2 linked regions of the Neodiprion lecontei genome follow. The protein of the gene in region 1 interacts with the protein of each later gene in a pairwise test. Links are inferred from orthologs where the notes say so. Each region holds a gene or a part of one and is shown on either strand. Other genes may lie near its edges.

What was found.
Region 2: the proteins of membrane-associated guanylate kinase, WW and PDZ domain-containing protein 2 (region 1) and armadillo segment polarity protein interact in a two-hybrid assay, tested with the Caenorhabditis elegans proteins (2 studies listed by BioGRID, with this or other methods). The link is inferred for Neodiprion lecontei from reciprocal best matches to the Caenorhabditis elegans genes magi-1 and hmp-2.

Annotation. Positions count from the first base shown.
Region 1 is NC_060264.1:36,469,694-36,476,961, forward strand, and holds the start of membrane-associated guanylate kinase, WW and PDZ domain-containing protein 2, read right to left. Parts: upstream 3,925-7,268; 5' UTR 2,955-3,924; coding exon 2,885-2,954; intron 1,674-2,884; coding exon 1,454-1,673; intron 1,354-1,453; coding exon 950-1,353; intron 798-949; coding exon 609-797; intron 187-608; coding exon 1-186.
Region 2 is NC_060261.1:41,589,720-41,597,284, reverse strand, and holds the start of armadillo segment polarity protein, read right to left. Parts: upstream 4,192-7,565; 5' UTR 4,058-4,191; intron 3,185-4,057; 5' UTR 3,158-3,184; coding exon 3,121-3,157; intron 3,030-3,120; coding exon 2,799-3,029; intron 2,594-2,798; coding exon 1,799-2,593; intron 1,685-1,798; coding exon 1,416-1,684; intron 1,331-1,415; coding exon 989-1,330; intron 848-988; coding exon 674-847; intron 543-673; coding exon 240-542; intron 1-239. UniProt on the Caenorhabditis elegans protein: Required for cell migration during body enclosure and cell shape changes during body elongation. Plays a role in recruitment of the cadherin protein hmr-1 to adherens junctions.

The sequences.
Region 1 (7,268 bases):
TTATGGTTGTAACTTTATCAGAAATACAGAGATCAGGCATAGAATTGACGGACGTGGTTGCCAGATTTTCACTGTTCGATATCTTATGTACTGGTAACAGGTTTCCGTCGACATAGTTGAAACGATCATTAGAATGCATACTAGGATTAATGTCCATGTAAAGTGTTGGATCCTCAATCGGTACATCTGGGGATAAATGGTAGGCAGCTGATAATAGGTTGTATATGTAGAAACAATTGTATCATTGATAGAACTTTAAAGACAGGCAGCTTTACGGACCTTATGGTGCTAGACAAAAGTGAGTAAAGGGCATGGTCCAAATTTCAGGTAACTGCAATTACTCACTTACATTACAAAAGATTTTAACCAACGGTAAGTGCAATTATTCCCAGGCCCATCCAGGCACCTTGGTGCATCACAAGTATTCGCTTTGGGCTGACTGTCCTTAACTGTCTTTGGCCAATGCTTGTACTCATGGGCAAATGCAATATTTGTATAATTTATAAATCATGTATGAATCACTTATATTGCTGAACTGAACGTGTCTACAATTGACACGGGCTGACATCACGGAAAAATTGTTTTATTTATTATGTACACCAACTCACCTGGAGCATTGACTGCTATTGTGGTCACCACTTCAGTATTGGGATCGTTTGGATCAAAGGGCAGTGGGTAGCCACGGCATACCTCGATAGTGACAGTCTCCCCACTCGAAATAGATTTGAACACGTTTACCATTTCGTTGTGAGTATATCCAAGAACACAGGTTTCATTAACATAAACAAGAACATCGCCTTAAAAAAGAAGATGCCAATAGGCTGTTGTCAGATGTGGATGAATATATCGTAGCTGTGTAGTATCGCAGTCAAAAATAATAAAATAATAATAATAATAATAATAATAATAATAAAAGATTCGTGATAGGATAAATTCTGGACCCTCTTACCAGTCTGCAGCTTTCCATCTATCCAGGCTGGTCCGTTTGGCACGACACTTTTTATCTGAAGGAATTCTTCAATAGTGTCATCTCCACCGACAATAGTGAAACCCAGTCCTCTGGTACCTTTCAGCAGCGTACTACGTATTCTTAGCCCCTTTAATTTATCAGGGTTTCTAGTGAATACTGAACTTTTACAGTCTGTCACGCCCTGCTGAGCCCGTTTGGCTTGGAGTACTGGGTTCTCGTATTGGGTTCGCCGATTCACATGGTCGATAAAGTAGGTTCCGTACAAAGTATCATCTATTTTTTCCCACCCATAAGGTAGCTCGTCATCTAAACATTCTTCTAGGGAACGTTTTTGAAATTTGGACAACCTTGGATCAAGCCAGTGCGACGTGCCGCTGTTATGACTTGAATAATATACGGTAATAAGTTGACTAGCATCCTATTTGAGAAAACCATATGCAATATATTTTTACAAAATTTCTCACAACTTTCAGTATTACTTACTCGATAAAATACACTTCTCCAGTGTCAGTGTAGGCTTTCTCCCAATTGGATGGAAGGGGTCCTAATTCATCCTCAGATGCACGATCTTGGTTGCTATGCTCTTGGTCTAGATCCCTTGTAGTCTGGCCAGATCCTGTATTATAGAGATAACTTGGAGGTACCAGATGAATCGAACCATTTGCATTCCCAATTTTTTGAACTTCTTTGTCGCTACAACTGCCTATTGGTAGAGAACACAAACTATAATAATTTGAAATTGAAAATCCAGAAAAGACTCACTAATTACAGAAATGTTATTAAACGATTTTGCCAAAATAAAGTATCGTTGAACAGCTCTAAGACAGAATGCATCATCTTTGTGGCTGTTACAAGAATAACTCACCAAATGAGATAAACATACGCATTTCAGGTGATATAATATAAAGAGTTGAAAAATTTAACCACTTACGGATCATTTTCAATTTTAATATTAGATGGGATGCGCATAAGAATAATGTATTCGAAAAAACACTAGGTATTTTTTATGCGTTTTAGCAAACTGAGACGTGCAGCTCCATTTGTTTTATACGCTATTTATCATATACTTTTTAACAGTATCACAAACTATGGTTTAATCGTTTGGGGGAGGGGCTTATGAAAACACTATGGCTCCATTAGTTAATCTCCAACAAAGAATGATAAAAAAGTTACTCAAAATTATCTACTTCAAACCTTGCTTAATCCCTGTAATTTTTATATTTCAAAAATATTATTTTTAAATACAAGAATGTGGAAGAGATCTACCTCGCATCAGTTTTCAATCAGGTGCAAGGAAGCAACTTGCGCCAGTTCGACAAGTTACGAGAACAATCTACAAAAACAACCCGAAATATATGGTTGCTGAATATTTCAGCTTGTCATCTAATAATCTAAAAACTCTAAAAATTAAGACATGTACTGCAAAAAGAATGATTATGAAATGGCTAAATGAAGAGTGCATGCTTTCATAGCTTGATTATATGGGCTATCCGAAATCATTTGATATGATTATTGTTATTATTGTTATTATTTACTACTACTTTTGCTATTGAGAACCAAGGGTAATGAACTATGCTCTCTCTATCATTGTTTTTAAAATAGGTATTCATTGGCATGTTCTTCGTCTTTGTTCTATTTGTCTATAAAAATATTATTGAATGTATTTTTCATATGCCTATATGTATGTACGCGTGTGTATGTACGTATGTATAATTGTATTATTTCTAGTTCATACCCATGTACAGACGGTGTTTCATCTCTGTGAGATTCAGAGTGTTTACATTGTATTACTTTGAATTTTGACGAATAAATTAAAATTGCAATTTTTGTGAATGATACTGATTTGTCAACATGGACTACCAAAGTCTATAAAGGAGTTAGTAAGTCAGTAAATAATAGTTGGATTATTTTTACCGCAGTCAAAACCATCGTTGGAAAGAGCTGTGTTGCTTTGGGCAGCCATCTCGTGTTTTCTACCTAGCATATGATAGCGAGTAGCAATTATGCCTTTCTGATGTTTTTTAGGTACTGAGTGTTATCAGCCAAAACTGGTAGCTCCCTGACATCTCTTGGCCATATTCGTTGTTCTTGATGAATCAGCCAGATCCTTGCTCATAAAAATCAGCATCGCCGTATTTCTTTCATTGTCATAGGATTTCCGTTACGATATATCTATTTCAAATGCATTTTTGCACAATAAAAAGAAAATGCTTGCAGACCCGGATTGAAGTCTTTCACAGCTCGGTTGAATTCGTATGTACAATTGTGGAAACAAATTAAAGCAAGACTAACATTTCGATTGTAAGTACAAAACTCTGCAGGCATTGATAATTATTTGTCAAATGAAAACTAAGACGAAATAATTGAAAATTTTTCCGCACAAATTGAATGGACTTATTTCAAGCTATCGTTCGTGAAATTTACACAGACGTGGAGATGGTAGTGAGGAAATTGCGAGGCGAACGACTATTGAGATTCTGACAAATAACATACAAGTGTCAAATAAATCAAGCCAAATTTACTAAGCTTAAATCTACCTCCGCGAAATTGATTATTCAGAACAAATGCTTGTATGCTTGTTTCCAAATATGTGATCGACAATCTCATTTGTGTTGTTGTTGTTGTTGTTGTGTTGTTCCTGCTGTTGTTGCTGCTGCTGCTGCTGCTGCTGCTGTTGTGGTGGTTCTTGTGTCCCACTTGCCCAATAAAAGAGATTTGTTGATTTCTACAGTATGGCTACTCCCTATCGGTCTCCCCTTCCACAATGCAATAATATCCCTACTGGTTTGCTGAACAACGAAGGAACAAATATTTCCAAAATGAATCACACCGAAATCTTAGAACCGAGCTAGAGTAGACACGGTTTAGTACTCATCGCATATAAACAGCACTTGTTCCAGAGATATCGGGATTTGAGGTAAAAACATGAAAAGCAAACTCATTTGAAGAGAGAAGCACGGACAACGAACCTGTTGTCCGAAAATACTCGTTAAGTAACCGGTAGTTCCTATAGGTGGCGCTGAAGTCCCAAGAAAATGTAGGGCGTTGACTGGAAGATTGCTAGACAGGTTAGCAACGGTTATCATTTTAAAGCAAGGAAGAGGGCACGGCGGTGACGGCAGTGCTCTACAGTCAACAACCTGCTAATGGATCTTACCATGTAAATTTAGTCTGCAGGATAAAAAATGTTTATACCGCAGCTTCGCCACTGGCCTATATCTATGACTCTTCTACTTTTAACTGTTCCCTTGTCCCCCGCCATGGGGCCGATAGAAAAGAGAAAGGAGTACTCCCGACATATCTCTTTGCTGTATATGTTAGCTTCAGGGGCCGGATTCCGAACATCAAGCGAGTTCGAGTTAGTGAGTTCTACGGTTTTTAGTTCTGAACATCTATTTTTCTCTCCTTTCTTAGCTATCGCCCTCTATCAACAGCATGTGCCACTTCGTAATAATATTTAACATCGATAAGCTCTGTACCGACCGTGATGTTCATTAACCATCGACTATAATAATAGTATGGAGAGCGGAAAACCGTAGAACTAATTCGAACTCGCTTGATGTTCGGAATCCGGCCCCAGCAACGGCTTCAGTGCCCATTATGGGAGGAGTGCTCATAGTGCTCAGTCTATTGTCTATCCTTTAAGTGTATAGGTGGGGATGGGTTTCTTGTTGAAGCTCAAAAGTTCTGGAAATTGGCCGCAAAGTTAGAGCGCTGCAATCTCGTAGTACCCCAACGTAAACAAGCCCTTGTAATATTAGAGCACGCTTCAAGTAGCGTCAGCGATTGCTGTCGTGTGGTCATAAAAATTGATTTGGTTCCGATAAAAAATGTACCGTAATTTTGTTTGTTTGCTATGTTTTGATTATAAAATATAAAACTAATTTCAAATACAAGTGCTGTTCTGATTTATTATAGCGTTTACGAACGTTTTTGAACCCTAATAAATAACATGAATTTTGAACTCCAAGGTTACATTTAATTTTTACTTACTTTATTCTATACAGATTTCAACATATTCACAAACTGAATTTGTTGACGAACAAAATTGGTGAACTACTACACATTGAAGAAATCTAAAAGAAATAGGTTAGGTGTTTATTACTACTACTAGATTACAGCGCCTCTGTACTAATGGTAGGTTACCGAAACACACTCCGGGTCAATACAAGAGCCATGATCTTCAGTCAACATCAACCCCCTAACACTGCTGGGTATACCGAGTCCCCGTTAATGTACCTCGCCACTACGTGGCGTTAGTAGTCAACTGCTCACGATGCCGACCCTATTAGTTATACGAAGAATGGAAACTACGCAGAGAGCAGATTAATGAGGGTTGGGGAGTGGAAGGAGTAGATCAGACGACTTCTAGCACGTAGTGGCGGGAGGCATTAACGCGGACGCCCTGCTATAAGAGAATCTAGTCCAGGGTCAGGGGGCTGGTCAACACCAGTAATTCCAGAGCAGCCCCCTAACACACGCTGCTAAAAGTGGTTCGCAATATATCCCTCGATTCTGCCGCCAATCTCCACCATTAGTGGCACTAGTAGTTGTCTGACAAGCTTGCGTGCGGTCAGCGAGGGCAGCGAGCGTTTCAGAAGTCTACTAGCGCCACGTAGAGGAACTACAAAACGAGGACAAAAAGCGTACAATTTTTTAGTATACGAGCAGTGGTGAGTGTCAGGGGCTGTTCCAGTGTGTGACGTATGGTTCGTGGTTGATTAACGGCAACTATGGCCGCAGGGGTGAATAGCAGTTCATCGAAACGATGCCAGATGACGCTCGTGTCATAGGCGCAAGTATCGTAGATTTGGTGGAAAGGGCGCGGACCTACCCTGTTGTAGCTGTTACGAGCCTTGCCATGGCTCTGCCGCCGGTCAGTCGGAGAGCGACGACACTTTAACTAGTCGCATTCGGGCATTGATCCCTTGCTACCGCCGCGAATTGTTGATCTAATATTGTGCGATGTCTTTGTTTGCATTTTATGTACACCCACCCAGTGATCTAAGCGACTCAGCAATTAATTATATCATTTGAACCACGACAAGCCCTCGTTTCATCAAAGGTTCTCGCTTCAAAATTGTGCAGCCCCAATTATCAGTATAAGTATGTTGTGTGCATGAAGTCGAACATTTGGTTTTCCTATCAAAGAGACTAACGAGCGAACAGACGGGTAGAAGGAGTGAAAAGATAAATTCAGAGAGGAATTGATTGATTCGTGTGTCGTACTCGATTTTGTATCAATGTCACTGCAATTGGTGTTTATGGTATCATTATCGTTATATTCTTGGCGTTCTTGTTCTCGCTCCATCTGTTTTTATTGATATCGACGTGAGCAACTAATTCTGATGCTTTTCTTTTATTACATTATCGTTAGTTACACTAGCAATAAAATCATTTCTATCCACAACACCACCATCACTGTTAATTCTATCAATACTGTCGCCGTTCTTATTCTTGTTTTGTCCCGTTGTTGTTATCGTTGTTTTCATTATCATCATCATCGTCGTCGTCGACGTCGTCGTCGTTGTTGTTGTGTTGTTGTTGTTGCTATTGTTATTATAATCATCATTATTATTACCATTATATGCATAATGATATGTTTTGAAAGCAATATTATGTTCGTTCCCATCTGAAGAACATGTTGTTCATAGCAAAAGAAATTCTGGCGAAGGATGTCACTTGAATCCAATTTGGAAAGGTCACTCGCGGACCTCGAAGTTTTCCCATTATTATCACATTGAATAGAATTTATTTTTTAGACAATTGTTTTCAATCAATGTTAGCCACATTTAGTGATACGTATCTGCTCCTGGAAGTATTCTGCAGGGAATAAAATTCTTTATAGAAGTGTCCAGTGAGAGAGATCGGGATCCCGAAATGTCTCGAAAGTTATAAGCTTCGAATATTTGAAAGTTAAATTTACGTAAACATTCATCTTTGAACATCTCTAGTGGCTAAACCATTGATTTTACACTGAATATTAGAATTGCACTTTTTTGTAGAGTCAAATGATTTACATAAATGTTTCTAAAATCAAGTTCACATTTTTAAACGCAGCTGATTCTGAGTAATAAGAATTTAAAAAAGACATAAACCATGTCGCTTCCATATTATTTAATCGAGGGTACTTCGAATTCCGAGAATGACCTTAGACAATTGTTTAAAATATAAGCGACATTCTCCAGCGGGGATTTCTTTTGCTATGAACAACACGTTTTCCAGGTGGAAACTAAGAAGATATGTTGCTTCGATACATAACGCTACCTTGATATACGAGCAGCATCAGTTTCTATTT
Region 2 (7,565 bases), on another chromosome or scaffold:
ATCACGCATTACGCTTTGCACAATACGAATGAAACAGCGGCCCTCGCAACAAAAGGGAATAACACGTACATACCCACCCAAGTTATTAGAAGAGTGGAAAAACGAAAGAAAAGAAGGAATGTTCTGTCGATCCGGTGATATTCACGAAAAAACCTAGAATTATTTCAAGGCGGTTTGATGTGAAAACTAATAGAAGCCACAGTGCGAGTGTCTCGGATAAGAAAATGTGCTGATTTTACCTGTAAGTCTGGACCCATTCCGAGATCAGCGTTGTTCCAGAGGCTGGTGTCTTCGCGGAATAGCGAGTTAGTCAGCTCCATAGATAACCGTTTCTTGTAGTCCTGCGGCTTGTCGTCACTCATTCGGAAAAGCACGGCAGCTGCGTAAGTTGCAACGCCTTCGTTCCGCGAGTGAAGTAACTCAGTTAGCGGAGCGGTAGCTCCTTCTTGCTCAATCATTTCAGCCCCTTCCTTATCCGTCGCCAATTCGCAAAGTACTCCTGCCGCGACGCGTTGAATATTCTCAATCTCGTTGAACAGCAACTAATGTTCCATAAAGGTAAAAGGACATCGGATAAACAAAAGACTAATACTAATCTGTGATAAAGCAGGGTTGTGATATACATCACTACAAAGTAATCTGCAGATTATAAGTTGATCATTAGAGTACGGACCTGGACGAATATCGGTATAACAGTTTGAGTTCGAATGATCGCTCTGTTATGCGATTCTCTGGCTAGAATGTGCAAAGCTCCAACTGTGCCTTCCACAATTTCTTCCATGCGCACCCCATCTGCGTATGCTCCAGCTGCCTGTTGGCTTCCTGTACTAGCCACTGAGGATCTCTGCTGCAAGATAACGGTGATAATAAGCTCGATAAGTCAAGATCAACATTCGGCATGTGACGTGACACTGTATTAAGCGTTCTTTTATTTCTGTGTCTAATACGTTAGATTGAACAATCGAGACATAATTATAAAGGAACATACTCGCTGAGTATCCTGGAAAGCGCGCATGAGGAGCCTAACCAGATGATGAATAGCGCCATGTTCGCGTAACGGAGCATGATTCGCTGGGCACAGAGCCAGATTACGAATAAGGCCAATAACAGCCTTGACCAACGGCCAGCGCGAAGGCGGATGCAGAAGCTTGACTATGACCTGAATGCCGTAGTTCAAGCGGACCGAATTTTGGGCCATTTCGGCGTCGACGTGACGCGAAGTTAGATGACGGAGAGCACAGACTGCTGGCTCTGTTATCTCCTCGCGATCACCAGCGCTGACAATAGTGCGCACAAGTGCGTCGACTCCCCCAACTTGACACACTGTGACCTGAAATAAGTTTTTAAGATACTTTTGTGAATATTTTGCTTCTTCACCTCATTTATTTCCTTACTCTGTAAGAAATTTGACGCACCTTGTTGCGTTGATTGTTGCATGTCAAATTTGACAAAATACCGGCTGCACATGTGACAACGTTTACGTCGCTTGAAGTCAGCACCTGCACTAATCCTTGCAGCAGACCCTCCAATCCGTCAACTTTTGTTCCTGCGTCAGAGAGATTTCGCAGTGTCCACAAGCAATTCTGAACCAGTCTTGGACTCGAGTTTCCAAGATGCATTGCCAAGGCTTGCATACCGCCAGCTTCGACAATTGCTGGTTTGTTGCTGGAGCACACCGACAGCACTGAGGAAGAGAAGAGAATACATATTGAAATATGATTGTTGCGTAAGAGGTGGCAGGGATAATTTCAGTGAATATTGTCTATAAGTCCCTAGATATTGTTAGATTGTATTTTACCCTTCAAGACTCTGGAGGTTGTCCACAAGAGCTTCTCATACTCATAAGAGCGCATAATTCGTACAAGTTCGATTGGTCCCTGAGAAGCGAGGATGATCAGCTTGCTTTCTTGATTGCCGTAAGCGAGAATTTGGAGACAGTCAGTTACAATAGCCAAAAATTTCACGTTGTTACGCTGAAGAAGAGCAACCATCTTCTGCAGTCCACCGGCAAGACGTACGGCCATTTTAGAACCGTCTTGGTGAAGCAGCAGATTGTGAAGCGTGGTTATGGCGTAGAATAATACAGACTCTACTGGTGAACTCAACAGCTTAACAAGAGCAGGGATACCGCCACTTTTGAAAATAGCCAGAAGCCCTTGTCTGTGGTGAGACAAATTGTGCAGAGTTCCGACCGCAGCTTTCGTTGATTCAAGATCATTGCTGTTTGAGATTGCTCGTACAAGAGCAGCCACCATTTGGGGACTGTTCATAATAGCGTGTCGTGAGGCTTCCTTTTTAGACAACTGATGCACCATCATAGCAGCTTGCGAAACTATAACCTGATCCTCGTCGTTGAGGAGCTTGATCAACTCTGGAATCGCACGAGTTGCCAGATCTGCATCATCCTGATAGTTGATCAAGTTGACCACTGCGTGCTTCAACATTTGGCTTGGCTCTGCCAGTCTTTGAACTGCGGTTGGTTGCGCTGGATCATACTGTGTAGATGGTATCTCAATACCCTCCTCTAATGTTTCAGGGAACATTGCTGCGCGTACACGCTGTGATCTCGTGTGGCTCAGTTGTTGATTCATTTCTGTTGAAATAAAAATGATTGTTGAATATTTTAATTGAATTTTACAAGATTCGTTAACACGTACTCCTCGCTGTTTACAACTTGACAGAATTATTTTAAACTGAGGCTGAAGTTTGTAGTAATTTCAAGCAGGAAATAATACTCCGTAATATTTTGGGTTTTTTTCTTCCATATGTAATAAATATTTCAATAATATTTTCCTCACCGTCGACTTGGTCCTGTGTGAATCCTTGAGCGAAGCCCTGATCCAAGTCGAACATGAGTTGGTCTCCCTCTATATCGTCATCTTCCTTTCCTGACAGAGACTGCGCCTGAGTCGCAGCCCCTGAGTGGATTCCCGAGTCGCCCATGTAGGAGTTTTGTTGCCACATGAGAGTCTGCTCTTTGGCAGAGCCCATCGGTAGGTCTGCCGGGCCTTGATAGCTGCCGTGCGACACTGGAAGTTACGAATATAACAGAAAATTGATTCAACTTCAAATCGAAAGGCCCTAAGGTCAGACCTGTAATTCAAATCAGATGGTACTTACTGGGTCTAGATTGATTCGACGTCATTTGATAACTCATGGCTCCAACGGGCGAAACACTCCACACCTGCATAAAATGGGGATTATTATGTAATTTTGTATCAGATCGATCGGAGTAAGTTTAGTATTGAATGTGTATTACGCAACAGTCTAAAATGTCACAAATTACAACTAATGAAAGCACGTCTTTTTTTTGTTCAGAGACACCAAACTGCATATAGATATACGTACATATGTCTAGCTGCTATGTAACTTTCATTCTTATGCAAATTTGACAACAGACTCATCGCTCCTATGATTCATATTACCAGCTAGCTAACGATTGTGAGATAACAAGTATCTCGTAATACGCACTTGTAATATTTAGATTAACACCAGTGTATTTAATCATACAGATATAAAACATATATCTGATCGAAGCAGAAAAATGTACAAATGTATGATAAAAAAAAAATAATAAATAAAATAAAATACATGTCTACCACAATCCTCAAAAAACCTATTCACGCTAATAGCAAAGCGAATAGTACAAGATGCACGCAGGTGCACATATCCGTTCGAGTAAAGCGATAGGTAGGTAGTTTTTTTTTTTTTTACTCTCCCTTCTATTTCTCTTTTTTTTTATTTTCCATACTTAATTTATCGACGAAACGCCGGGGATCATACGAACTGCTTTAGAGGGTGAAAAAGGACCGATAAAGCGTATTAAACGAGTGTGATACCCGGAGTGGGCCAAGAAACCGAAGCGTGGGTACGCGTGGGTGTTGCGGCACAACAAAGGGCTCAAGAATGCAATGCATCACCATTTTCTGACAATCGGAAGGGGGCAATGGAAGCACTTTTGACACACCCAGGCGTAAACACGAAAATCGGGGATAATCAGGCCTCAGAGGGCGAGACCGGGGGCGCGAATAACGCAGGATAACATTGTTTCACTTACCGTTTACCAGAGGGTCGATAATTATTGTTATTCGTGCGAATATCGTCCGTCAAACTACGCGAGTGACTCACTTTACACCAGCCAGCTTCCAGTTCCCCCTTCCAAGCACTGCCTCCTCGCTCCGCCAACTAAACATGGCGGATCCAGCGGCCGCAGCGCGCCCTTTACGACGAGACGAGGACCTGCGCCGCGCAGAAAGTAGTCCCGATGTTTAGACGCGGTGATTAGAGTATGACACACTATAATATGACTCGAGTCGATATACTGTGCCGTGTCGGCGGTACAAAGCATGCGTGAAGTTTCAGCCTCCCGCAGAAGCTTCGGGGAACCGGTCAACGGCGCTGATTCGGATCATGGGACGATTGGGTAGAATTCGAATTGAAAAAAATAAAACAAACTGTCACGATCCGTAGAATCTTTGGGTTAGGAGGAAACCTTTTTGTGTTACTACGCCGATAGTGGACCGAGCGATCAAGTGCCGAGTGTTGCCACTTGACTAATTGTTCCATGTGCTCGAAATAGGCAATAAATTCGATGCCGTACGAGCCTCTCGACGCTCTCTGCATACGCCTTTTTCATCATTCACTCTTTGTCGGATTTTTTCATCATTCGGGTCTGAGGACATCGTTTGGAAATCGGAGAATTCCCAGCTGACTAAGCCGAACACTAATCGGCGGCATTGCGTGACTCCTATACGTACTACAGACTCTAGTCTACGGTATTCGGAGAATTAGAAAAGCGCGGTATACGCGTCAGAACTATTCCTTTATTTCATGTTAGCTTATGTTCTTAGTTTGTGACGAAATTCGCAGATGATAATTGACCGGGAAACTTCCCTCGTGCATCGTCCACAGGCGTAAATCATACTTTTATAAGGATTTAACATGTATGAATCTACATAATGTATAGGTATAGTAACAGTTATACCTAACTGGTTAATAAAGTTATTCTGTGTTAAATTCTACTGGATTTATCTCTCCATTTACATATAATAATCGTAAATATTTCATCTTTCAACAAACAGTCGCCCTGATGCCTACATCTTCTATAATCACGTGGCGTGCTCCATAGGGTTCGAGCTTAAGCAAACATACATGATTATGGCAACAAAAAGCCAGCGTTTGTAGATATATTTCAGATAAATGATTGTTCGTTTATTATCGATGGATGAGATATTTAAAATTCTGCGAATAACTTTTTTCTCCAACTAGTCTCGTTCAGATGAAATTGTATGATTTTTCTATTTTGCTTCTAAACGAAGGCCGCTCGAACCGCTCCCAGCTTTTTATGGTCAGAATCGACCCTTGCAGGGATAATAGGGAACCGCTATTTTACCTGAACGAAACGCGACAGCACAGAGAATTGCTTGAACTGCGCAGTTTGAAATCTAGCTAACTTTGTACAAGGAGTTGTTCCTTTTTAATCTCCACGTGGAAACGAGATAAGCCTGAGCAAGTTGACCGAAGAATCAACCGTGGAATTTATACTCTCGCGTTCCTGCAATTACCATTATTTAAGTAGCTATGCCGCGGTTTTACACGCCAGACTAATGTCTAGCTTGAAACTAAGTTGATTTATTATAGTTGTATTATAGCTGCGTAACATGACCGTAGTATAGTAACTCCAGAAATTTCAGCTACGTTTATCGCTCGTAATTATACCATTTTAGCAATTCTGATAGATTATCTCTTCGTTCTCAATTACAGCGATTCTATTTGCTCTTGAAAGTAACTATCGAAACGCTGCGAAGATTCTAAAATCGGCGCATGTTATTCTCGATCGGAGGTGCCACAAGCGCCTACACGAATGCAACCGATATAGCACGCGCGCTTGGCGTGTAGCGTGTGTCGCTCGTTAGGGGAGCGTTTCGAAACGAAATTTGTGTTATTACCGCACGATCGCGACAAAACGAAGTCGTGAGTTAAGCGAGACGTAAATCGGAGCAAAACGGACAGTCCGCTTTTCAGCACTTCAATTTTTCAAGGTGTTAGGCCCATTTAGTCAAGCCACTCAGGCTTCATGCCCGGGTACGCGCGTGTATCAACGGTCAAGTTTACGAGCGGGTGCCTCGAGTCCAGCTATGCATGGCCGGCTACAGATTGCGTTCGAAATAACAGACATCGACTGTTATAGTGCAAAGTAAAATGTATTGGCAGTTCGGCAGAAGAGCGCTATCAATTCTTATCAGCTGCGCCCATACCGATTAATTTTCACGAGCGTGATTGAGAGAGATTTCCCCTCGATACGTCGTCACCCGGTTAATGCTCGAATTCGCGCCGCTTTTAACGTCATCCCGCCGGTGGGCAGCGATAGATTCAAATATTTGACGGTAAACAGGAAATAGGAGACATTAATTCGCCATGTACGCGATCCGCGCGCATGATTTGTACACGCGTAATTCAGGTTTTCGTTTCTCCCTTTTTATTCGGGCCGTTTGTTTCTCCGCAGGCTGAAAGCCACGAAGAGACCCCAACGTGGGTATAATATGCGTGCGCATTAATATGCTCCGGATTTAACGTTGCTCAAGATTTGATCGAGTGTTCTATATCATCGCCCGTCGTTCGAGTAACCTCGGCCCACCCGGCGTAATTATATGCCTGTTAACGAATGAGTTATTGCTCCAGGAGGAGACAATCAGTGATTTATATTGACTCTTATTTGAGGGGTGGGGGTGGGGTCGGCTCGCAGCGTTCTCTGATAAGTGTCTCTGATAATATGCTAATAATGATTTGTGGTGACGGCGACTTCCGCGTTAATCTAGCTAAAGGCCTCCGCGCACGAGTCGATCGTCGAGTCGAGCAAAGCGAGGAAATTTAGAAACGCGCAGTGGCCCGACATTAAGCGTCTTACAGCGCTCCCCCGCTCTGCATTATATTTATCTCTTAATTTAACGACGCACGTTTACCCTGCAGCCCGCTGTGCAATGGGGTGACGTTACAGCGCAATTATAATATATTGCAATATGTATTTAACCGTCCATGGGATTCGTGACACGTCGTGGTTAAACGATGACGAGAATAATTACTGTCGAACAAGTTACACCGTTATGGGTCAATATTATTACAGTCTCGCGGATACGTCGAGCTTCCAGAGATCTGTAAAGAGCTCAAAAGTTCACAGGCATTTTAAAGCGTACTTACACGTACCTATAAACTTTCGTAATAAGCAATACCGCGCTCATACCTGTTCGTATAAACCGTTTGAAAAACGCGATAATCTCATAATTAAGTAAAGGTCAACGAATCCCCGCGTGACGAGTTGCCAACAAATCTCTGCCTTCTCATATTATATGCGCGTGTACGATATGATCGTTGCCCGTATTTATTACGGGCATTCACCTCTAGTACAGCAAACCACCTTCATGCACGCTATACCTATATACATAGACTTTCTTGCAAAACAATAAATCTCAGTGTTTATCGTACAGTGATTTTGAACGTCGACCGTGTGATTTGTTCCGCGGCCAAATATTTCTTCAAGTTTTATCTCCACAGACTCACGAATTTCA